Linked DNA regions of Ovis aries. The protein of the gene in region 5 purifies or fractionates together with the protein of the main gene of each other region. This does not show direct contact. Links are inferred from orthologs where the notes say so. Each region holds a gene or a part of one and is shown on either strand. Other genes may lie near its edges.

Evidence for each region.
Region 1: the proteins of INAVA (region 5) and CYTH1 purify together in Homo sapiens (co-immunoprecipitation; 3 studies listed by BioGRID and IntAct, counting the BioPlex papers as one, with this or other methods). This does not show direct contact. The link is inferred for Ovis aries from reciprocal best matches to the Homo sapiens genes INAVA and CYTH1.
Region 2: the proteins of INAVA (region 5) and CYTH2 purify together in Homo sapiens (co-immunoprecipitation; 3 studies listed by BioGRID and IntAct, counting the BioPlex papers as one, with this or other methods). This does not show direct contact. The link is inferred for Ovis aries from reciprocal best matches to the Homo sapiens genes INAVA and CYTH2.
Region 3: the proteins of INAVA (region 5) and CYTH3 purify together in Homo sapiens (co-immunoprecipitation; 3 studies listed by BioGRID and IntAct, counting the BioPlex papers as one, with this or other methods). This does not show direct contact. The link is inferred for Ovis aries from reciprocal best matches to the Homo sapiens genes INAVA and CYTH3.
Region 4: the proteins of INAVA (region 5) and SGF29 purify together in Homo sapiens (co-immunoprecipitation; 3 studies listed by BioGRID and IntAct, counting the BioPlex papers as one, with this or other methods). This does not show direct contact. The link is inferred for Ovis aries from reciprocal best matches to the Homo sapiens genes INAVA and SGF29.
Region 6: the proteins of INAVA (region 5) and CEP170 purify together in Homo sapiens (co-immunoprecipitation; 3 studies listed by BioGRID and IntAct, counting the BioPlex papers as one, with this or other methods). This does not show direct contact. The link is inferred for Ovis aries from reciprocal best matches to the Homo sapiens genes INAVA and CEP170.

What each region holds. Positions count from the first base shown.
Region 1 is NC_056064.1:52,964,185-52,967,684, reverse strand, and holds part of CYTH1 (cytohesin-1), read right to left. Parts: intron 2,054-3,500; coding exon 1,941-2,053; intron 1,177-1,940; coding exon 1,028-1,176; intron 650-1,027; coding exon 537-649; intron 1-536. UniProt on the Homo sapiens protein: Promotes guanine-nucleotide exchange on ARF1, ARF5 and ARF6. Promotes the activation of ARF factors through replacement of GDP with GTP.
Region 2 is NC_056067.1:54,896,523-54,900,510, reverse strand, and holds the start of CYTH2 (cytohesin-2), read right to left. Parts: upstream 2,801-3,988; 5' UTR 2,676-2,800; coding exon 2,657-2,675; intron 1,842-2,656; coding exon 1,694-1,841; intron 1,596-1,693; coding exon 1,529-1,595; intron 515-1,528; coding exon 396-514; intron 1-395. UniProt on the Homo sapiens protein: Acts as a guanine-nucleotide exchange factor (GEF). Promotes guanine-nucleotide exchange on ARF1, ARF3 and ARF6. Activates ARF factors through replacement of GDP with GTP.
Region 3 is NC_056077.1:38,609,240-38,613,291, forward strand, and holds the start of CYTH3 (cytohesin-3), read right to left. Parts: upstream 2,801-4,052; 5' UTR 2,551-2,800; coding exon 2,460-2,550; intron 1-2,459. UniProt on the Homo sapiens protein: Promotes guanine-nucleotide exchange on ARF1 and ARF6. Promotes the activation of ARF factors through replacement of GDP with GTP. Plays a role in the epithelial polarization.
Region 4 is NC_056077.1:26,603,647-26,607,692, forward strand, and holds the start of SGF29 (SAGA-associated factor 29), read left to right. Parts: upstream 1-1,246; 5' UTR 1,247-1,425; exon of another isoform or gene 1,426-1,563; intron 1,564-3,573; 5' UTR 3,574-3,809; intron 3,810-4,046. UniProt on the Homo sapiens protein: Chromatin reader component of some histone acetyltransferase (HAT) SAGA-type complexes like the TFTC-HAT, ATAC or STAGA complexes.
Region 5 is NC_056065.1:78,908,776-78,912,275, forward strand, and holds part of INAVA (innate immunity activator protein), read left to right. Parts: intron 1-370; coding exon 371-498; intron 499-805; coding exon 806-922; intron 923-1,416; coding exon 1,417-1,651; intron 1,652-3,500. UniProt on the Homo sapiens protein: Expressed in peripheral macrophages and intestinal myeloid-derived cells, is required for optimal PRR (pattern recognition receptor)-induced signaling, cytokine secretion, and bacterial clearance.
Region 6 is NC_056065.1:33,235,539-33,239,038, reverse strand, and holds part of CEP170 (centrosomal protein of 170 kDa), read right to left. Parts: intron 3,086-3,500; coding exon 2,442-3,085; intron 1-2,441.

The DNA.
Region 1 (3,500 bases), on a different chromosome or scaffold from region 5:
CGCCCAAGAATGAGTAAGAGTGCCGTGGATTGCGCTGCAGCCAGGGCCCTGGGTTTGCCATGCATGCTGCCTGTGGGGAGCCAGATGCAGAAGGAGGTGATGATGCACTGGGGGTGGGGGAGGCGGGAGCACTGGGCACAAACTTGTGATGGGAAGTAGAGAGATGGGCACAGCTGGCCACCCTCCCAGTGGTCAGGGGGGCTGGGGAGGGAAAAGGACGAGGTCCTCGGGGAACCGCCTTGAAAACGAACCCTCCTCAATCCACCCCAGAGAGGAAACGTGGAGCGCAAATACCCGTGGGCAATATTTATGTGGGCAAGTCTGTCCCCAGGAGTCTGTGTGTCCCGTGGGGCGCTGGCCATGCCTTCACTGTCTTCTGGGAGGCAATTCTGTTAGAACAGTAGGAACTCATACCAAAGTCTCTTCTTAGAGCCTCCTGTACCAAACCCCCTTTCCCCATAGTGCATGCCCGGGTGTGCACACACACGTCCTTTCTAAGCGTCTGTAAGGAGCCCTGACCCAGAGGGCATCACTTACCGAGCTTCAATAGCCAGCCTTCTCGGTCTGGGTTGAAAAAAGTGTGGGTGAGGTCATTCCCATCATCTTCGGGGATTTTAAAGGGTTCATTTTTTATGCTCTCATACAGATTCTGGAAGAAAAGATGACGCTGCATGTCTCCGATCCTAGAAAGACCTCTCCCCCCGCCTTTTCCGTCACTCGTGCAACAAGCACCACTGCGTGCTGTGCACTGGTGGCACCAGAACCCCTCTGCCTTCAGTGCCCAGAGACAAAAGAGACAGAGGCCTAGCCAGGGAGCAAGAGAGATGCGAGAGCAGCCTGACCTCCACTTGAGCCTTAGGTCTCAGAGTCACAGATCACTCTCCCCAACTGATTCCTCGCTGGGCCTCGCTACTAGTTTCTTAATGCAATTTATGTAGCTGAGTGGATGGTCCGAGCAGACACTGGATTAACCCCACGTCCATCAGCATCGCCTGAGCCCATGGCCTTGAAGGAGAGCTGAGCTCACCCGGAGCAGCTCCTCGGGCAGGTCTCCCCCATCGTTGATGCCTCGATTCATGGCTATGAACCTCTCCACGGTGGGCTTATCTTTGACATTGGGGTTATGCAGGCTGGTGTTCAACATGATAATGGCAAATGAGAGGACGTAACAAGTGTCTAAAAGGGAAAAACAAAATCCAGTCAGAAACATCCCACCAGAAAGAACAAAAAGCACCAGGTGAGACTGAGAATGCAAAGCAGTGCTCTCAAAAGAGTAAGCAAAATCCACGCATCTGGGTACACTCTAACTGCAAAGGGCAAGGCATGAGAAAGAATGTAAAGCATTCACGACTTAAAAGGGTTTTATTTTTTTCAGACTGTGTAAGAAGAACATGTACAGAAAAGCACAATATATGAAAAAGAACATATAAACTACCTATAATCCCACTACCTAGGAATAACTTATTTTGCTTTCTTACACAAATGTGACTATGTGTAATGTATCACAAAATGTACCTCAGAGGTTTGACAGAAAACAGCCAAATTTTGTAAAGTGATTATCTTTCAATTAAAAAATAGATAAATTTTTTAAAAATATGAACCTCAGAGATACATACTGTAACATGTCAGAATTACAACAGATACACAGTTTTGAGGTCTGCTTTTTGGCCAATCTTATTAGCATTTTTCCATGTCAATAAAGCCTCTTTATAAAAACATAATTTTTAATAGCTGTACACTTCATAATTCAGAGGTGCCCTTACTTAGACGCCTACTACCTTACTGGCAGACGTGGACAGTTTCCAACTTTTTACCATTACAAACACCATTTAAAGTGATGTTCTTAGGCAGGAACCCAACCCCTCTGGTTTTGGGATGGCCCAGTGCCTAGCAGAGCGCCGGGCAGGCGCTGCCAGCCCCGGGAGGGGACGCGCGCGCACCTGTGGACTGGAACACCCCATGGTTGCACTGACAGTAGCGCTGGGCAAACGCCTCCATCATCCGGTCGATCTTCTGGGCCTCTCCCGGCAGCCGGAAGCTCCATAGGAACTGCCTGCGGGTGAAGACAGGGTGTGTTACGGCACTGGGGGGGGACACCCTGTGTGTGAGAGCTTTCTGCAGCCAAGGGAGATGTCGGGGGCTTCAGCCTTCTGTCAGATGCAGGCTAACCACTCCACATCTCTGTCTTCTCGATAGAAGGGAATGTATTTATGAAAAGAAAAAGAAAGAAAAAGATTTTCCTATTCAAAAGAATGGTTCACCTCGTCAGACTGATACATAAGAACTCCAATTAAAAGAACTCCAATTTCCAGAAAGAAAAAAAAAAAAGACATAGCAGGAAAAGAGATTTTCTATCAAAGCAGTCATGACTAAGCCCTTTAAGTCAAACAGAAACCCGCAGCCAACAGGTTTAATTCTGGATTTTTTTTCACCTACCTAAACAACAACACAAAACATGATATTATTTACTGTTAAACAGCAATGAAAATACCAAATTACAATTTCTCAAAAAGCACAAGGGAACTAGATTTAGCAAAAAAAAATTAGATGTTGACTTTTTTCCTTCTAAAATGAAGGGCACACTACCTATTTCCTGTTCCAGGGCAAGAAATTTAAACGATTTTCTTGAGTGAAATTGGGAAATATTCAAAGTGGAAATATTCATCAATTTCCAAACGTTAACTGAAAGATCTGAGGAAGAGTTTTACAAATTTTGCTTTCAATTTAACCCCCTTTAACCAGGTCAGGAAGCAACAGTTAGAACTGGACATGGAACAACAGACTGGTTCCAAATAGGAAAAGGAGTACATCAAGGCTGTATATTGTCACCCTGCTTATTTAACTTATATGAAGAGTATATCATGAGTGAAACGCTGGGCTGGAGGAAGCACAAGCTGGAATCAAGATTGCCGGGAGAAATATCAATAACCTCAGATATGCAGATGACACCACCCTTATGGCAGAAAGTAGAGAAGAACTAAAGAGCCTCTTGAGGAAAGTGAAAGAGGAGAGTGAAAAAGTTGGCTTAAAGCTCAACATTCAGAAAACTAAGATCATGGCATCCGGTCCCATCACTTCATGGCAAATAGATGAGGAAACAGTGGAAACAGTGGCTGACTTTATTTTTTGGGGCTCCAAAAGCAGATGGTGATTGTAGCCATGAAATTAAAAGATGCTTACTCCTTGGAAGGAAAGTTATGACCAACCTAGGCAGCATATTAAAAAGCAGAGACATTATTTTGTCAACAAAGGTCTGTCTAGTCAAGGCTATGGTTTTTCCAGTGGTCATGTATGGATGTGAGAGTTGGACTATAAAGAAAGCTGAGCGCCGAAGAATTGATTCTTTTGAAGTGTGGTGTTGGAGAAGACTCTTGAGAGTCCCTTGGATGGCAAGGAGATCCAACCAGTCCATCTTAAGGAGATCAGTCCTGGATGTTCATTGGAAGGACTGATGTTGAAGCTGAAACTCCAATACTTTGGCCACCTGATGCAAAGAGCTG
Region 2 (3,988 bases), on a different chromosome or scaffold from region 5:
CAGATGTCCATGGGCCCCTCATGCTCCCCAGATATCCACTGACTGACCCCTCCCACTTCCTGCATCACTGTCCACGTCGCTCCCATGCACACCAGCTGTCTCCAATGGTTCTCACGCTCCCATACCACCCACAAATGTTCTCCACTGTCCTGACATAAATGGGTGATGGTCCCCGCATTGCTCAGATGTCCTCAAATGTCCCATACCCTCCACATGCTCACAGATGATCCCCAGGTTCCTCAAAAGGTCCCCCACCCCAATCTCTGTGTCAGTCCATTTTGTCACAGTCCAGTTGCAAGGCTCATCTATCAGGGCCTCTCCTCAACAAAAGCTGGGTGCAAGGGGCAGAGAGGAGATGCCCAGCAGGAGCTGGGTGCAGGGAGTGCGATTCTCACCTCTCCCCCAGGTAGTCCCCAATGGCCGTCTTGTTCAGGCCCTCGCCCTTGTACAGGAAGCGGGCGATCTCCTCAGGTGTGTTCTGCAAAAGTTCATTCTCCACCAGGAACTGGATCCCCTGGTGGGAAGGGCTGGGTCTCAGTGCTGGCATGCTCAGAAAGACACCCCTAGAAACCTTAGCCTCCAAACCCACCCCCATTCTCAACAGAGCGGGGCCTGAGTTTCATTTTCAGGCTCTTCCCAGGCCCCTAAACACCGCCTCTCCCGCAGCCTAGACTTTGCATCTACTGCTGCCTCTGCCTTTGCCTGGTGAATTCCAGTCCCCCCGGAGCAGGACCTGGCAAGAACAGGAGCTTCATGAATGTCTGCTGAATGACTTTACAAACTACCACTGCTTCTGGCAAGAAGAATAAAGTGGGAAACTGTTAGAAGACATCAGTTCATGAGGAGCTGTGAGGGCTCAGGCTGGAGGTCTTTCTCAGGCTCTCCTGATGTCTTGAGGACGATGAACTGAGGACCCCTCTCTCTGGATTTTAGTATCTGCGTCTAGGGGCTCCCTGAGGGCAAGGCAGCATCAAACCCTACACTGGGTCCTATGCAGTACCTAGCAGAGCCGCAGCCCAGAGGGAGGCCTGAGGAAATGGTGTAAAATGAATGAATGAATGAACGAACATCTTTTCTCCACTGGGTGAACACTCAGTCATCCTTCGCCTGACCCAAATGTCCTCCTGAGGGAAGCCCTCCTTGATGCCACCAGGCTCACTCCTCTGTGTCCACAGTCCAGTACCTCTCTTTCTCTCTGTCATGGCACTTCTCTGTCCACATTCCCTACCAGACTCAATCAAGCTCCTCCTGGGGACTCAAGAGTGGCAAGAGAAATGGGTCCTAAAATATGAGCAAAAAGGAGAGGAGGACCACTCAGGTAGAAGTTCCAGCATACACAAAGATCAGGAGGCTGAAGCACTTGGTTAGTGTTCAGGGAACAAATACTGCCAATATCTGGATCCAGTGATCAGGACCAATTCTGTCCACCTAAGACAGACCTTTAACCACCACACTTCTGGAACCCGGAGATGCCAGAATCCTATCTGGATGTCAGCTTGGCCGATCCCAGCCCTGTGGCCCCAAGCACCTTTTTGGGGTCCATATTGAACTTCTTCCTGCCCATTGCCATCTTCCGGTTCCGTTGCAAGGTTTTGCTGCAGGGGCAGAGAGCAGAGGGTGCAAGGTCAATGCCTGGGCATCCTTGGCCCTCGCCTGGCCCCATGACCCCTAGGCTCCCTGCCCTAGCCCTCACCTGCCCTCATTGGCCTCCAGACCCTCCACCTCGCTCATGGCTTCGCTGAGCTCCTCCCGCAGGCGCTGGATCTCCACCAGCAGCTCCTGCTTCCGCCGTCGAATGTTCTCCAGCTCCATCCGCTCCTCCGGAGTCAGGTCCGGGGGTTCTGGGGGAGGGAATCAGGGGTGGGAGATCAGTTCTGGGGACTGGGAGCCTGGACTTCTGAAATCTGGTGAAGGACAGAGCTCCTAGGTTCATGGGGAGGATGAGGATAAGAGTCCCGCCTCCGGTCAGTGGAAGAAGGGGCTGGGGGTCAGTCCAGGGGAGGAAGGGCTGGGAATCTAGACTCTTAGTCCTTGGGAGAGAAGGGGGCTTGGAGCCTCTACTCTAAGGTTTACAGGGGAAAGGGGCCTGGAAGCTTGACACTGCGGTTCATTACTTGCAAGGGGCCTGAGGCCTTGGTTTTCTGCCTCCATTCTCGGCGAGGTAGCTGGGGACCTGGGTGCCCGGACTCCTGGGTCCATGGAAAGTAACCATGGCAGGGGAAGCTAATGACAGCTTGCGAGAGTGAAGGAAGGGGTGGGGCATCGAAGGCCCCCGCCCTGGCCCTAGCGGAATCTCTGGCCCACACGATTTCTCCCCACCCCACCGTCCCCAGAAGCCCCCCTCCCCTCTCCCGGCAGGCACTGGGCTCGCCCGGCCCCTCCAGAGGGAATGGTTCCGCCTCAGCCTCGCCTCCGCCGCTCCATCCCACCCCCTCCCGCTGCCACCGGAAACAGGCTCGGCCCAAACAATGGCCTGGAACGCCCCGCTCTCCTGCCCTGCCGGAAGCCCGTCCCGCGCCCCACAAAAGCGAGGCGACAACAGGGCCGAACAAGCTTCTCAAGGCGCGCGTCGTGGTGGGGGAGGTCGTTCGCGGCGGAACGTTCGGGCTGAAACGCTCCATCTGCTCCCAGCCGGCCCCGCCCCTCCCCGACTTACCATAGACACCGTCCTCCATGGCGGCTAGGAAGGCCCGCGGGGAGTCCGGGGCGGTCCCGCCGGTCGGGCCCGGATCCGCGTTGGCCCGCGGGCTCGGGTGAGCCCGCTCAAACGCCCCGGGAGCCACCGCCGCCTCCTCAGCGCCAGTCCTCAGCGCTGAAAAGACTCTCCCTTCGTCTCCCAACCGCCCCGCCAGTAGGGACCGCCCCTCGTTTTGACACCGCCCAATCCACGGCGTGCCCTCTCTTCTGTTCCGCCTCCGAAACCGAAGGATCGCCCTCCAGGGCCAATAGGCGCACTAGGAGCAGGCGTAGCAACGTTCAGCCCAAAGTAGACGGTCTGTGGGGCCAATTGGAGTGAGAGCAGGGGCCGGGCCCCGCCTCCGAAACCAAAGGGTTCTTGGCAGGCTTCCCCTCCAATGAGAAGCCTCGAAAAGGAGATGCATGGAGGCGGGACTAAGCAGACGCAGAGGGAGGACTACGCCTGCGCAAGGGCTCTGCTCAATAGGATACCAGGTCAATCGAGCCGGGCCTATAGCAATACGTCGCTAGGGGGCGGTACTTTGTTAGGCTTGTTGCTAGGGGGCGGGGCCACAGCTCCCTGCTGTTTCCTTGAGCCACACCTCCTAGCTGGCCCGCCTGGCTTTTGACCGCAGTGGTTGCCAAGCAACCGGGAGCCGCTTTGGCTCACTTTCCTTTTGGCCCCCTTTCTCAAATGTACTGGCCTCTCCGATCTGCAGACCCTTTCCTTACCCTCCTCCTTTGACCTCCCCCATCCACCTCAGCCTCTTCAGAGTCAAGGAGTGGTGAAAAAAAAGACTTTCTTCCAAATGCTGCGCTTTATGGTCTCTGTAGAGGAGAATGGGACTATAGAGGAAGGCCAAATCCAGTGAAAGGACAGGCTCTGCCTTCCTGCCTCTCGAAGCCTCTCAGTTTCCTCCCTCTCTCCCCCAAACTCCTCCTTTAGGTTAGCATCCTTTCCGTGCCCAGGACAGTTCCCCTTTCCTCAGCATCCTTCCACCTCTGATCCCTTCTCCCTTCTCCGAGCCCTTTCCCTCCTCTCTGTCTCATTTCGCGTCCCCCTCCTCTCATACTCTTGCTCTTCTTAAACTCCTCCCTCTTCTCCGACTCCTCTGGCATCTGAGGCCATTTCCCCTCCCCCGCCTCTCATTTCCATTCCTTGAAGGCAAAACAGGTGCAGGGGCCTGGCTTGGAGGGAGAAACTGGGCACCCCCATCACGGACAGGTCCCAAATTGGGTCTGAGGGTCGTGTCTGGGCCTGGGCCTCACTCATCGTCCCAGAGTTCGGCAGGCAGGGACAGATTCCAGGCCA
Region 3 (4,052 bases), on a different chromosome or scaffold from region 5:
GCAGGATACAAATAACGGTATTAGGCAACCAGCCTGGACTCTTAAAAAGTCATTGTAAAAAACAAAAAGTTGTTTGTTTGTTTTTAAGACTGAGGAGACAGAACTAAATATAAAGTGTAAACCCTGACGGGAACCTGGATGGGTAAGAAAAATAGCTATAAAAGGCGACGTGGGAGCAAACTGGGGAGAGCAGGATTCGACTGGCATGTGAAAGCATGGTGCGGACTTACCGCTGGGCCCTTAAGTGTGGCAACGGTTGTGGTTAAGTAGGAGGCTGTCCTCGGGAGATGAATGCTGTTGAGTATTCAGGAATAAAGTGTCACATTATACATAACTTCCTTTCAGATGGGTTAGCCAAAAAAAAAAAAAAAGGAGTATTAACAGTGTTAAAAGATAAGGCAAACGTGGCAAATGCTAGCAATGAGGGTAACATACATGGATACTGACAACACTATTTCAACTTTTCTGCAGACTCAAAGGTTTTTAAAATAGCAACTTGAGAGAGAAAAGAAACAATAAGTGTACTGCCAATCACCGATTATTCCTAAGCCCAAACCCACAGGATCCGCCCCTCTGCTCTGCTGTGAACGTAAATGGGGGCAAGGGGCGGGCCTCTCTGCTGACTAATGGCTTTAAATGCCTACTGATTGGGATTTGTGATTAATTTTTCAGGACATAATTTCACATGGGCTTTTTCATGTCCATTTTACATATGAGAAGACTGAGACTTAAGGAGATTAAGTAATTGGCACAAAGCCTCAAGGCGGGAGGTACCACAGCTGCAGATATTTGCTTAAAAATGTCAACAGCAAATAACCGGTTCAAATGTTTAAACAAACCTCCCTACTAGACTCAGATTCTCAGAACAAACCACTGATGCCACGGTTGACTATCTTCTGCCTTAAACCGGGGAAACTGTCAGAAACATCTTTCAGTGGCTGACCTGATGGAGCAAATGGGCAAACCCTGGACTCTTAATGCCCAGATTTCACAAGGGAGAAGGGGGCCTCTCCAATCCCCTGGGACTGAGGTTATCAGTGCAGGAGCGCGGTTGCATGGTTCATCCCAACACAGCCGGCCAGGAGGAAGCATGGCCAAGGACAAGGAAGGCCACCCGCCACAGCACCCTGGTTCCAATAAATGGATAAGAGTAATGGTCTCTGGATGGATGATGGATGAGGGGTGGGGTAGTGTAGGGACACTAGGGAACAAGAGCTTCAATAAAACAAGCAAAAACAGCCTCAAAATGAAGGGTTTATACTAACAGAATCCTCTCCAGCACTTGGGGAAGGTGATCAGGTTAGCTTTTACCACCCGAGCTTGGTCTTTCATCTCTAGTGGACGCTGGACGGGCCCTGGCTGTCAACTTACAGCTCTTTTAATTAAGGAAATGGTTCTCCTGTCAAATCTGTTCCTGAAATTCCCAGTCGCCAATCTGTTTGATTGCTAAAACCAAGAAAAAACTGCCCAAGCCAAGCTCATGAGATTAGAGAAGCTTCTGGGCGTTCCCTCTCCGAAGGGACACAGCTGCGGCCAGCAACCACCCACCCGGAGGGCAGTGGGCCAGGGCGCACCCCTGACTCAGGGCTCCCGGGCAGGCCTGCCGCAGATCGGGCGCTGGAAGGACTAGGTGAAGCAGACTTTCCTCTCAAGGGTGCAATGCTTTTTACCCTACCCCCAAATTTTCAAACCCCTGGAAAAGAGAATGGCACCCCACTCCAGTACTCCTGCCTGGAGAACGCCATGGACAGAGGAGCCTGGAAGGCTACAGTCCGTGGGGCTTCGGAGTCGGACACGACTGAGCGACTGACACACGCGCACAAATTTTCACCAACAGAAAAGGGAGACAGAATTTCGAATGGAGAAGCAGCCAGAGCACTTCTGAGGGGCTTTCTCAGCGCTGCACGCGGGCGAGCCTGCTCTGTGCAGAAGCCGTGGCACCGGCCTCAGATGCGCCCCCCCCCCCGGGGGCGGGGTGCAGAAGGGAGGTCCCCGCAGGGCCCAGAGACTGAAATCCTGAAGCCAAGCACCTCAGCGCTGACAGAAGCAGAGCCCCCTGGGAAGCATCTTGGCTTATGTTCTTTCCAGATTAAAAAATAGTAATAATAATTATGTTCTGCACGTCCGGCCAAAGAACCGGGCATCTGGGAGGCAGAACCACCACGGGGGCTGCCAGATGGGCGTGGGACCCGCACGCGCTCCCTCGGGCTGCCCCGCTGGCAGGAATGTTCTTGTGAGCAAGATTCAGAGCCCCTCAGGACCAGTCTGACCTGAGGAAGGAGGGAAGAAGGCATGTGACTTTGTGTCAAAAACATCACAGTAACCATCTGACGGGCACAGAGCTTAATCTCGATTTTCAATGAAAAGGCTCAAGCTCCAGAAACGGCGCATCTTGGGGGAGCCCACGGCAGACACTCTGTGATTCCTGGGGACAGGCAATGTTTCAGAAGAACACTCACCCGACATTAATATTCCTGTTACGCAGGCGATGAAAGGCATCATTTTATTCTCAAGACGGTTCTCGCCCTCTGAGTGCATCACACACTGCATCAAAGTCTGTGGCCACTTGTCCTCCCACACTCGGGAAATACAGCCTCATCGTGTGAACAGGCCAAACATTGAAAAGTCACTGAAATCCTCCTGTTTTCCCATACTCTAACACACACAGAAATGAACTCATCTGCCTGTCTCAATTCAAAAAAATTTTAATCTAATTACTGCAACTTGGAAAAGGACATTCTTGATCGCTTTATTTCCTCTCTGAAGAGCTCAAAGGAAGTCCTGTCTTCTAACAGAATATTAAATGGCCGATGCCTGCCGCTTCTGACTGCTGTGTTTAAAAAAAAATCCTTCTGTGTTAAAATAAATGTAGTCATAAGGATGTGCCAAACGAAACTGTTAATGGATTTACGAGCATGTGAAAATAGATTTTGTTTTATTCAATGTAGGAGAAAAGTGTTCATCTCAGAAAGAAAGTATAACCTAGCCCAGTTCTTAAAGGGATAAATATATATACCCAGCGAACACGCATGGGAGAGAGATGTTTCCCCTGGGCCCTCAGTGGCCAAGACAAGATCCTTACTCTTGATAAATAAGAGAATGAAACTTGCCTGCTGCTCCAGCCAGCATCAGGCGACCTTTCGGCCCCTGGCTCCGCCACCTCTCCACAGCCCAAAACAAGGTAGGTATTTACAGTCCCACGAGACGGGACACGTGGAGACGGGACACGTGGAGACGGGAGGGGAGAGGGCCCTCCTGTGTCCCAGCAACTCCACCGAGAGCCCGGCAGACCATCCTCAGCCTGAGGGCCTGGAACTGAACAGATTTGAGGGGTACCGTGAATACAGGTTGGCCACCACCCGGGCCCGACAAAGGCCACAGCAAGAGGAGGAACTGTTTCCTCCTTGAGTATTCCTCCAAGAAGGAAAACAGTCTCCCCAAAAGTCCCCCTGCCAACTGCCCCTCACAGCTCATGCTGAACTTGGCTTCTATATCCTTCCTTCAGTAAGGAAAACGGGATTACCTTTACCGGTTTAGACGGCTTAAGCAAATCAGGGTTGTTAAGCAAGGAAGAAAGGGAGGATTTACTTGGGATACGGAGCGAAATGGGCTGCTACAGACTCCAACTCTGCCCTACAGACGGCCAGCCTGCACGCGGTGGGCAGCAGAGAAACAACCCAGTTGACCTGCCCTTCCCCTGCTGCCCCAAAATGTCTAGGTCCTGTTTTCTAGTTTAAAATCAAGGGTTGTTATTTAAAAGTTACATGTTACAGAAAGCAAAAATTTTTTAAATACTTTCAAAAGCCTATGCGGCCACCCTAGCACTAAATCAACTAGACAAACAGCTAAATAGTGACTGCTTTAATGAAGCCTCACATTATCAAATTGTGGTTTTAAAGAACTTCCAGAATGTAAAATAAATGCAATCCAGATGTTCTCTGAAAAAAAAAAAAAAAATGAAAACAAGATTGTTTTTACTTCATAGCAACCAAATAGGTCAACCCATTTCCTCCTTCATAGAATTCTCAGAGGACCACAAACTCCACTTGAAG
Region 4 (4,046 bases), on a different chromosome or scaffold from region 5:
AGCTCCGGGAGTCGGTGATGGACAGGGAAGCCTGGTGTGCTGCAGTCCGTGGGGCTGCAAAGAGTTGGACACACTGAGCAACTGAACTGAACTGCCCCTTTCACCACTGGGTGCCAGCCCAGGGCTAAATACCCAAGGGGAGACCCTCCCCTCCGTCCCTACCTCCCACTCTCTCACCCCAGGGAAAGCCTGGGTCCAAGGGATTGCTGCCCAAGCATGTCTATAATCCTATTTCTATAGTAAAAACTATTTTAATTATTGAAAAAAAGGGGAGTGAGCAGTGGGGTTGCGTACCAAACTCTCCGTAGAGGTTATATCCTCAACTGGGATTCTGGAGAACTTTTACTTCCAGATGCTAGATCCCGGCAACATTTGACTTTTTCACAGTGTATGAGGAGCCTGGTGGGCAACAGTTCATAGCCTCCCAAAGTTACCTGTTTTAGAAGGAGGGGAGAAAAGGAAAATGTTAAGGGTCAGTTTAATTCATCCCTTTCCTTTACTCAATTCCATGCATACTATGCCACCTTCTGGTCAAGATATGGCTTTTTGTCTGTGTCAAGAAAAATCACCATTAAAAGTGAATACAATGGTTACAGTATCTCCCACCTCCTACCTCCCACCTCCCAAGGTGAAGAGAAAACTTTCTGTTTTGCTCAAATGGGTGAGGAGTGGGTGTGAACAGGGTCAAGCTGAGTGACTGTAGGGTTTTTTACACAGAAAGTGCCTGAAGCCCTCATGTAAAAAAGCCAGGTCTTAAGCAGGAGAAAGCAAAGAGGAGAGACAGATGAGAGCATGGCCTTCAGAAGTATAACTCTGTCAAGGGAGGAATTAGTAAAAGGATTAGTAAAAGGAAAGCACTCTGTGTAACTCTCTCCATGTGCCCTCAAGCGATCTTCAGTGAAGACTGCTGTGACTTTTCAAGGCTCTTTGGGAAAGCATTTCAGATGTGTTAGATGAAGGATAGACAAGGAAGCCCCAGATTCCTTTGCCACATTGTAGCTTTCTCAGAAGGGCTTCCCAGGTAGTTCAGTGGTAAACAATCTGCCTACCAATCCAAGTGCCCGCGGTTCAATCCTTGGGTGGGGAAGATCCCCTGGAGGAGGGCATGGCACACAAAGACCCTGGTTTGGTAAAATACGGTTCGGCCGAAAAGCCGGGAGCAGTGTGTCAAAGTGAAAACTACATTTCCCAAAGGGCAGCGCGGCACGTCACAGAGGATGACGGCGCATGCGTAGAGGGGTCCTCCGCGCTGCGACTAAGCTCATCAGAGGGAAAAAAGCTGTGTGGGTCTCGTCCTGCCGCGAATCTTCGAACGTAAAGGGCGTTGTCATCTGCAGACTCTGAAGAGCATTCGAGGGACCGCGCGCCTGCCCCCGCCGTCGCAGTTTCCAGCGCGACGTGCTTGTTCCACCCGTGGCTCTGTAGGTAGGTATGGATCGCGGTCTGGGACAACCCCCTTCCGCCGCACACCCCCGCCTGCAGGATGGCGGGAGTGGAGGGCCGGTGGTCTCCATGCCCCGGCCTCGCTGAGGCTGCTCTTGAGGGGCGGCGCGCATGCGCCTTGGCGGAGAAAGGCGGGGCGCCGGGAAGGAGGGCTGGTGTATCGTCTGCGCGTGCGCCTGCCTGCCCTGCGCGGGTGGGAAGCCGCCGCATGTGGAGCTTGGCGCAGTGGCCCGGGGAGGCTGGGTACCCAGGCCAGGTGCTAGAAGACAAAGGCAGAGGATGGGCCCCGAACCTTGATAGCATTTGTTATTTGCTCACAATGTGCCCATCTTAACCGAATGACCTCATTCTTCATTCGTATTTCTCTTGGCGCCTTGTTTCTCTGCCCTTGTTTGCAGCCAAAATTTCGGTCTGTACTCACTAGCACTTTTTCTCCTCCGAACCCACTCCAGTCGGGCCTGGGCCCCCACCCTTCCACTGAAATAGCGCCTTGTCAAAGCCACCAGTCATCTCTAGGTCACCAAATTCAGTGTTTAGTTCTCAGACCTGTAGCAGTATTTGATGCAGTTGCAGGAGGAGAAGGGGACGACAGAGGATGAGATGGCTGGATGGCATCACTGACTCGATGGACGTGAATCTGAGTGAACTCTGGGAGTTGGTGATGGACAGGGAGGCCTGGCGTGCTGCGATTCATGGGGTCGCAAAGAGTCGGACACGACTGAGCGGCTGAACTGAACTGAACTGATCTCTTTTTGCTATGGAATGTGCTGAAGTGTGACAAAACTTGGAAGGAAGAGTATAGATTTTATAGTTTGCAGGCTTGCAGTGGCAGCTCAACTACTTGTATTTCCTGAGTTACCTAGCATAACTTCATCCAACTGAACTAAAGCTTCCCCAGCTGTAAAGAAGGTGGGCTTGTAGCATTGATGTAGGCTTAAATGAGAGTCACCTATGTAAGCTTCAGTACCAAAGCCTGGTAGGTATTGGGTTGGGGTGCAGGGTGGGATAGGTGGAAATCATCAGGTCTCCTTAATTTTAAAAAGGAACCGAATTGAGGGACTTCCCTGGTGGTCCAGTGGTTAAGAATCTGCCTTGCAATGCAGAGGACTCAGTGTTTGATCCCTAGTCAGGGAGCTATGAACCCACGTGGCGTGCGGCAGTTAGGCCCAAGCACCACAACTACTGAGCCCATAGCCACAACCAGAGAGTCCATGGGTCCCACATGATGCAACGAAGATGCTGTGTGCTGCAGCTAAATGAATGAATAAATAAATATTTTCTAACAAAACTAATGTAGATTCTTACTGATGTGGCTAAATGGAGGGTATGGGATCTGAATGTAGTCTTGGATGCCTTGCTTCTCTTTGACTTATGACAAAGCTTTTATTGTCCTAAGTCCTATGTGATTATTTTTAGAGTGGTTTAAGTATAGACTATTTTCATTTGTATGAGAGGGTCAGACAGCAGTTTTAGGCTGTATGTATAGCAGTTACTATGTGCTTTTCCTCACAGCCTTGGTCCCTATGAATTACCTCTTTTTTAGTTAAACTTCTTAGTTGCATGTAACAAAAAGGTAGCCCAAACTAGCCTAAGCAGAAAGGGAGTATCTATTGACTCTAACTAGCCTAAGCAGAAAAGGAGTATCTGTTGACTCTAACTAGAGTCCCAGGTGTACCAGCTCCAGGTATGGCTGTATCCAGAAGCCTTGGTTATGTCACCAGTATTTTCTGTGTCTTTTCAGCTCTGCTTTCCTCCATGTTGATTTCTCCCTCAGGCAGGCAAAAATCTCCATCAGTTCCAGGCTTCTATGCTACTCTTTTAGCCAACAGAAAGAGGTCTTTTTTTTTTTTTTTTTTTGTAGATCGCTTTAGCAAGAGATTTGAAATTGATGTTGGCCAGATTTGGGTCACATATGGTGGCTCAGAGGTTAAAGCGTCTGCCTGCAATGTGGGAGACCTGGGTTCGATCCCTGGGTCAGGAAGATTCCCCTGGAGAAGGAAATGGCAACCCACTCCAGTATTCTTGCCTGGAGAATCCCATGGATGGAGGAGCCTGGTGGGCTACAGTCCACAGGGTCGCAAAGAGTCAGACACGACTGAGTGACTTCACTTTCACTTTCATCTCTTCCAGAACCAGTTGTGCTGGACAGGAAGACTAATACTTCCGTGGAGCCAGGTGGTGTACCCAGCCTTGGAGCCAAGATGAAGGATGGTTTCCCAAAGGGAAATTAGAGTACTGTTACAAGACCTAAATGTTTACTTAGGAAAAAGGAACAGATTTCTTTAAAAAGATTCACATGTGACTGCTCTTAGCAGTTTTATTCATAATGGCCCAAAACAGACATAGATGCTGTTCAGAGAAAACAGGTTAGATAAACTGGTTTGTTCATACAATTGATGCAACTCAGCTATAGAAAGGAACAGACTCCTAATACACACAGCAACACAGATGAGTCTCAAAACACATTAAGTAAAAGAAACCAGACACTAAAGTATACAGATGGCATGATTATATTTCTGTGAAGTTCTGGAAAAGGCATAACTGGTCTGTAGTAGAACGTAGCAGAACAGTGGTTCCCCTTGTGGGTAGAAGTAGAAAGTCAG
Region 5 (3,500 bases):
TGGGGACTGGTCTGGATGGAGGACTAGAGACAAGAGGTGTGGGTGGTGTGTGTGCGTGCGTGTGACAGCGAGAGGGGGAGAAACAGAGAAAGCGGTCAGTGGCCGTGGATGGAGGGTGGGATGGGAAGGGTGAACCCTGACCGCGGCCGCACCGCACCAGGCTGGTGGGGCCGCCCGTCCTCTGAGCCGTCATGGGCCACTGGGTGGCGGGAGACGAGCCGGTTTGCAGCTGTGACACAGCACCGTGGCAGCCGGCCCGCAGTCTGGACAGGCCTGAGACTGTGAGCCCACGTGTGCATCACCGCCCGGGCTGGGGCGGGCAGGGAGGCAGCCAGGACCAGCCCCCCTGAGCACATGGCCCTGTCCCCAGCAGGCCCGGACAGCCCGGTGTCCCCCGGGAAGGAGCTGACCCACGCCGTGCGGAAGCAGCAGCGGGCCCTGGAGGAGCGGCTGGAAGCCTGCCTGGAGGAGCTGAGGAGGCTCTGCCTGCGGGAGGCGGTGAGGGCCGCTCGGCTGCGGGGTGGGGCTGAGAGTCAGGGGTCAGGCGCCGCCCACCACCGCTCTCCCTGGGGGGGCCGACAGTACCGCACGGGGGAGGAACCCAGGGCACCATGGCCCGGCCCGTGCAGAGGCCCGGCCCGTGCAGAGGCCTGGCCCCGGGGAGCAGGAGGGACAGCCCTAGATGCAGGGCGGGCGGAGGTGGCGGGGGCCGGGTGGGCATGGGCCATGCACGCCTGCTGGACGGTGCTCCGCCCAGGGCTGGGCCTGTGAGAGCCGCCTGGCGTGACCTCGTTCCCCCCTGCAGGAGCTGACTGGCATCCTGCCTGCGGAGTTTCCCCTCAAACCCGGGGAGAAGGCCCCCAAGGTCCGCCGCAGGATCGGAGCCGCTTATAAGCTGGACGAGTGGGCCCTGCACAGGGAGGTGAGTCTGCCGGCGCCGTCCTGGGTCCCGGAGGCGGACAGCCCTGTCCCCAGGCCACCGCCCCACCGCTCGAGGCCCTTGGCTCCCGGTGGACGAGGGGCCCCGCCCACGAGTCACCCACAGGGGCCTCAGGGAAGCCCTGCCTGGGCAGGAACTGGAAGGGCCCTGGCCTCAAGGGAGGACGCTCGGCCAGTCCCCCCAAGGGCCAAAGGGCAGCCGCCTGGACAGGCTGGTGGCTCGGCCCCCCGCCTGTCTTCCTCTTTCTCAGTCGGGTGGAGAGCCGTGGGGGTGGATCCTGCCCTCGGCCCCGCCCTGTGCTGTGAGGGGTTGCGGAGCCCCTGGGCTCGTCTGCCCTTCCGTTGGACCGTTGGACCGGAATGTGTCCACCTCGGCCCCCGCCCCCGCCCCCGCGGGGCTTGGCTCGAGGCTGCCGGTTGGGTCCCAGGGCGGGTGTGGAGGGGCTGCCTGGGATCGCTGATCGCGTCCTCCCCCAGGACCCCCTGAGCGGCCTGGAGCGCCAGCTGGCCCTGCAGCTGCAGATCGCTGAGGCGGCGCGGCGCCTGTGCCGCGAGGGGAACCTGGGCCGCCAGGTGCGCCGGCAGCGCCAGCACGCGGTGCGCCTGGAGGAGGAGAAGCTGCGGCAGCTGCAGCGCTGCCTGGGCGAGCGGCAGGGGCGTCCCGCACCCGGCCCGGCGCCGGGCCCAGGTGAGCCCCCGTCCCCGGGCCCAGGTGAGCCCCCAGTCCCCGGGGGGACAGCCCTCCGGGCCGCCCCCGACCTCAGCCGGCCCCACCCCCTTCCCCAGGACCACCCCTCTCCCCGAGACCCCTCCCCACTTAGAAAAGAGCACGCTCCTCCCTTCTGCTTCCTGCTTGAAGTACACCGCCTGGACAGGGGCCTGGCAGGCTGTCCGCTTGTCTCCAGGGCGTGTTCAGCCCTGCTGCCCCCAGCCCACGGCGTGGGTGGCGTGAGGCTCTGCTGCCTGCTGTGGGCGCTCCCGAGGTCCCGTTCTGAGCCTGTCTGTCCAGGGGACCGCTTCAGGGCCCGCGCCTCTGCTGGAAGTCCAGCCCCACCCGCCCACCCGCCATCCCCAAAGCGCTGCGGAATCTAGGCCCACCGGGTTGGGAGCGGCCCCTGCTCTCTAGTTACTGAGCCTCAGGCCAGTCCCCGAGCCCAGACCAGTCCTTGGACAGCAGTTGGTCCAGCCCAGCGCCTCTCCTGACGGGAGGTTCTGGGCCCTCAGCACGGCTCTCTCTTTCTCCTGACCCAAGCCCTGCTCGTCAGGTCGGCCCTTGGAGGCCTCCCTCCCGATCCATCCCTGGGGCCTCTAGCCCTGGGCGCCACTCCCCCAGGCCTCTCCTGGGCCCCAGGCCTGCTGAGAGCCGGTGGCTCTGCATGGACCTGGACTCCAGGCCTCACCAGGCTCCCCAGCCCCCACCCCCGCCCCTCAGGGTGGGCTTCCTGCCAGGGCACCTGCGGAGCCCGAAGTCTTGGTCTGTGTGCGGGCCCCACGGCGGTGCGGCAGGCACAGTCTCCATACCATCTCAGGATTCCCTGCCACCGCTCATCGCCTCTAATTCAGGGGGGAAAGGGTGGGCCAGACACCTTGCCGGTCCCCCACAGGCAGGAGTAGGGGGCAGGCGAGGAGGGGGGACCTCCATGTGCCGGCTGACCCTGTAGAGCCAGGAGACAGGGAGCTGGCAGGGCTGGACAGCGACCCCCAGGCAGACCGGTGCTGAGGGGAGAGGCCCCCAGCCCCTTCACTTCCCGACCGCACCCGGGACGCGGCCTCCCCTTGGAAGGCAGCAGCTGACCGGCGCTGGAGCCCTGAGGGCCCACTGGGCCGGTGGGGAGCGGCCGCGTCCCGTCTGTGTGTCTCAGCGCCTCCTGTATCCCTTCTGGGCTTGCTCCATCCCGGGGCCCTGACCACGGGCCTGCGGTGTGGGCAGGGAGCGGTGTGGGGTGTTGCTCCGCTGCCACCTTTGTGACGATGACGCTTCTTGTCGGGAGTGCAGAGCAGGCCAGGACACGCCTGGGGCTTTGGCCAGCCGGCCCGGGAGATGGAGGCAGGCACGCAATCCAGGGGGGACAGAGCTATGGGGAAGGGACCAGCGCAGCAGTGCTTTCACCCTCCTGATCAGAGAAACAGGCCTGCTCTCCGCACGCAGTCCTGTCCTGGCAAGGCCGAGGTCCTGGCTTCCAGCGTCCTCTCTTGGGAGCCCAGGAGGGGGTGGTTGGAGACAAGTAGTTCCTGCCCTGTGGCTCCTCTGCCCAGCCCGGCTCGCCCTGAAACAGGGAAGTAGAGAGGAGTTGATAATTAGTAGCTGAAAGGTGTGGAGAAGGCAATGGCACCCCACTCCAGTACTCTTGCCTGGAGAATCCCATGGACGGAGGAGCCTGGTGGGCTGCCGTCTAGGGGGTTGCACAGAGTCAGACACGACTGAAGTGACTTAGCAGCAGCAGCAGCTGAAAGGTGTTTTGAGTTAAACAGAGAAAAAGCAAACAGACTAACCAGAAAACTAACAGAAACCCACCCACCCTCTTGGTCATTCCACCAGCAACTGTGCCCGTGCCAGGCGA
Region 6 (3,500 bases), about 46 Mb from region 5:
CCAACTTTAAAAGGGAGAAAACGGATGACAAAGCTTACCCAACAACTTGATATGATGTCTGAATCTCCTCCCATCCGCCCAAAGTCCTTCTTACACTCTGATTCTGACTATTTGGGGTCTTTGTTTTCTTCATGCTCACAGGTTACTTCATTTTCTTCAGACATTTGTTTCCCCAGAGCCTGACTTTAGTCAGCCTGAATCTGACCTCTAGCTTTAACCACAGCCAGTAGAATCTCAGCACTTTTTCTTTGGCATTCACAACATAATGTAGTGACTCCTGTTTTTCCCTACAGTTATGGCCTTAGCTTTGTTTTCTGGTTTATACAAACTAAGAATGACTGAATTATCTACTCAGTCACATTCTGACATTATTCCCTTAAATGAATCCTGGTTTAGATTCTTGGTTTTCTTTATCCATAGTGTGACCAAATAATTTGTCACTGAAATTGGGACTCTTTTTGAAAATGAAAAAAAGGATGCTTATTATGGACAGCAGGTATACACGAGGTTTTATGGTCCTTCTCTTCATCCAGCAGTTTACTTTTCAAGAGTCTCAACTGCCAACAATGACTTCCTTCTTGACTTTCTGTTGTTGTGGCCAGGCTATTTCCTTGCACTTTTAACTTCCATTTGAGTTTCAGATTTGACCTTTTCAATGCTGAAGAACTTTTCAGGATTTATCAAAACCTAGTGTAGAGATTCATACATGGAAACTACTCACAAGGTTAATAACACAGCTAATATTTATAGACCTTTTATCATAAGATAGCATTATAATAATAAGCCTCATATATTTTATTGAATTCTTTTTGCAATCTAGTGTTCACTCAGTGTACTTATATCTGGTACATCTAGTACAGATCTGTCTGTCTACAAGTGTTCATGTTTTTAAACTATTACAATATAATCTCCCACTGAAAGATCTTTTAATAGAGAAACACCAATAAACTACAAATGAAATATACATAAATCAAACAAAACTACACTAGAATAAAATTAATCTGAATTTTAACACTTAATAGCTTTTTTTCCCCAAAATCTATCCTTTTATTTTCTACTTGACAGTATCTTAAATAGCAATATACTAACTTTAATCTGAAAGTAATGTCATTATTGATTCAGTGATGAAAATAATTAGAAATGACTGAGTCATTTTCTATTGCTACAACTGTGTTCTTAGCTTTCCTTTACTATTATTAGAAATATTACTTTATCTGTTTGTTAATTTTTAAAAACTTCTCTTTTTTTTATTTACTTCTCTTATTAACAACTATCATAATATCTATTTCCTAAATTAATGGGTTTCCGAAAGTCTGGAGTGCTATACCCCAACACTGAAAAATTCTGAGCATTTGCTCCTCAACTGACGGATGTTAGAAATTTTATATATATATACATACACACACTGTATACACTATAGAACACACTCTTAAACAGAAATAAAAACTATGAAATTAAAAATAAATATAAGTCCTAATAATCTCCTGCTTCCCAAAGGGTTACCTTGTCTATTCTCTAAAAGACCACTGTTTAAGCTCATCATCTGAACTAGTGTATCTCAAATGTTAATCTGCATATGAGCCCTACTTTTAAGGCAGATTCCTTTTCACTATATTTAAGGTGGACTGGAGATTTTGTATTTCTAACAGGCTCTCTAGTGATGCTAATGCTGCTCACATGCTAAGTAACAAGAACCGAAACAAGAGATTAATGCTTAGCCAAATTTATGTTTCTGTCTTCCAGGGGATAAAATATACAGCAGATTCTAAAGTCAATCTTTCATTACTGGGGGCAAAACTACTTTTTAAACCATATAACAATCATTATACACATTAATCAAAAACATCAAAAATAAAATCTGTAATGTAAATAACTATCATAACTAGGTATACCCTTGCTTAAACTCAGAGTATCATAAACACACTGATTTTGTTTTTATACATTTCTTTTCTATCACCACAGACAGCAGTGAATAGAAATTAAGAGAAGAAACTAAGGAGAAAGAATAAAATGGATTAAAACATGTCTTTTCATCTGCTTCAAAAATAAAATTAAAAAAATAAAAACTCTGTTTAACTATTTTTAACTGAAGCTCATGTTTATATTAATGGAGTCAACAGTAATCTGGTTTTCTTTGATTTTTAGTTTTTAAATGCAAAGTGAGCATGGTCAAGATGTAGCATTTAAAAAGTCAAACTTAAATTATTACAACTTTAACAGGTCCAAACAGCTTATATGTATAGAACTTTACATATGAAACTCAGGCAAATTCAGAATATAGTAGAACAAAATCAGAAAGCATTTTGGTCTTATTGTTAGGTTTCCAGTTCCCTAATAAAATCCTAAAGTTTTAATACACTACCTACATGAAAACATTTGATATCCTCTAATAATTTCCAACAGTTAAATATACCACGAGAAAACTAATACCAATTATTTACCTTGTCAATCATTTTTCTTGCTTCCACTTCCTCACTGTTGGGATTCTCTAACTCAATGGTATAAGTACCCTTGTCACTTTGGTCATCATCATTATCCTTTTCAGAAGCAGCGGAAGTAGCTTGATTTTTTAACATTTTATCCATCTCCTGGCTTGGTCTGTGCCCAAGACTCCCTGAACTTCTTAATAATGCAGTTTGTAGGAAGGGAATTGACACCGATGGCTCCTCTGATTTCTGTTTTAACAATTTCCCATGTGGAACACCATGCCCCCCTCTGTGGTGCGCAGAGCTAGTCTGTAAAGACAAAGAAACCACTTTGGCATCTGCTGTTGGAGATTTTGTTTTTTCAAGTTTTGTATGTGGTGCTGAATAAGTAGTTTCCTGACACAAGATTCCCGTACTCTGAGTGAAAGAATATGACCTTCTTTTTCTGGGATTGTCTTCATCAAAGAATGCAATCATAAAAGCAGTTTGACTTACAACAGCTTGGTCTTGATGCTTTTCAGTAGCCTGGGCCTTCTGTAGTTTTTTCTGTTCTGAATGGTGGCGCCTTAAGTGTTCCTCAAGAGTTGCACGCTTGCTACAGCGCCTGTGAGCCCCAGCATTTTCTGAGTCGCTTTGTGTACCATCATCATGTTTGTTTCCTGGACACAGAAAAGAAACCGCATAATAGAGACGGGAAAAAATCCTATGTAGAAAATCAAAGCATATACAAAAGTGCTGCTTGTTCTGCCCCTCCCCCCTTTCAATCCAAAGTCATATGTTCTTTTCAGTAACAGGCTCTGCAAACTTCCCTCAATTGCAATGCTTACATTCAAATTTCATCAACCAACAATGAGTCCTTTATAAACACTTGAATAGGATTACTTTTCTTTCTCCAAATTTTGACTTTATAATGGTTCATCAGTGCCTTAAAAGATAAGCAGTGCTACATCTATGATAGTCTGTATTTGTAACATTAAATATTAATCCTGCCTTTAAACCTTATACCTTATTTAAACAATCAAAAACTTATCTTTAGCATTAGAAGGGAAAAGACAGAAAAAAGTGTGATCCCAC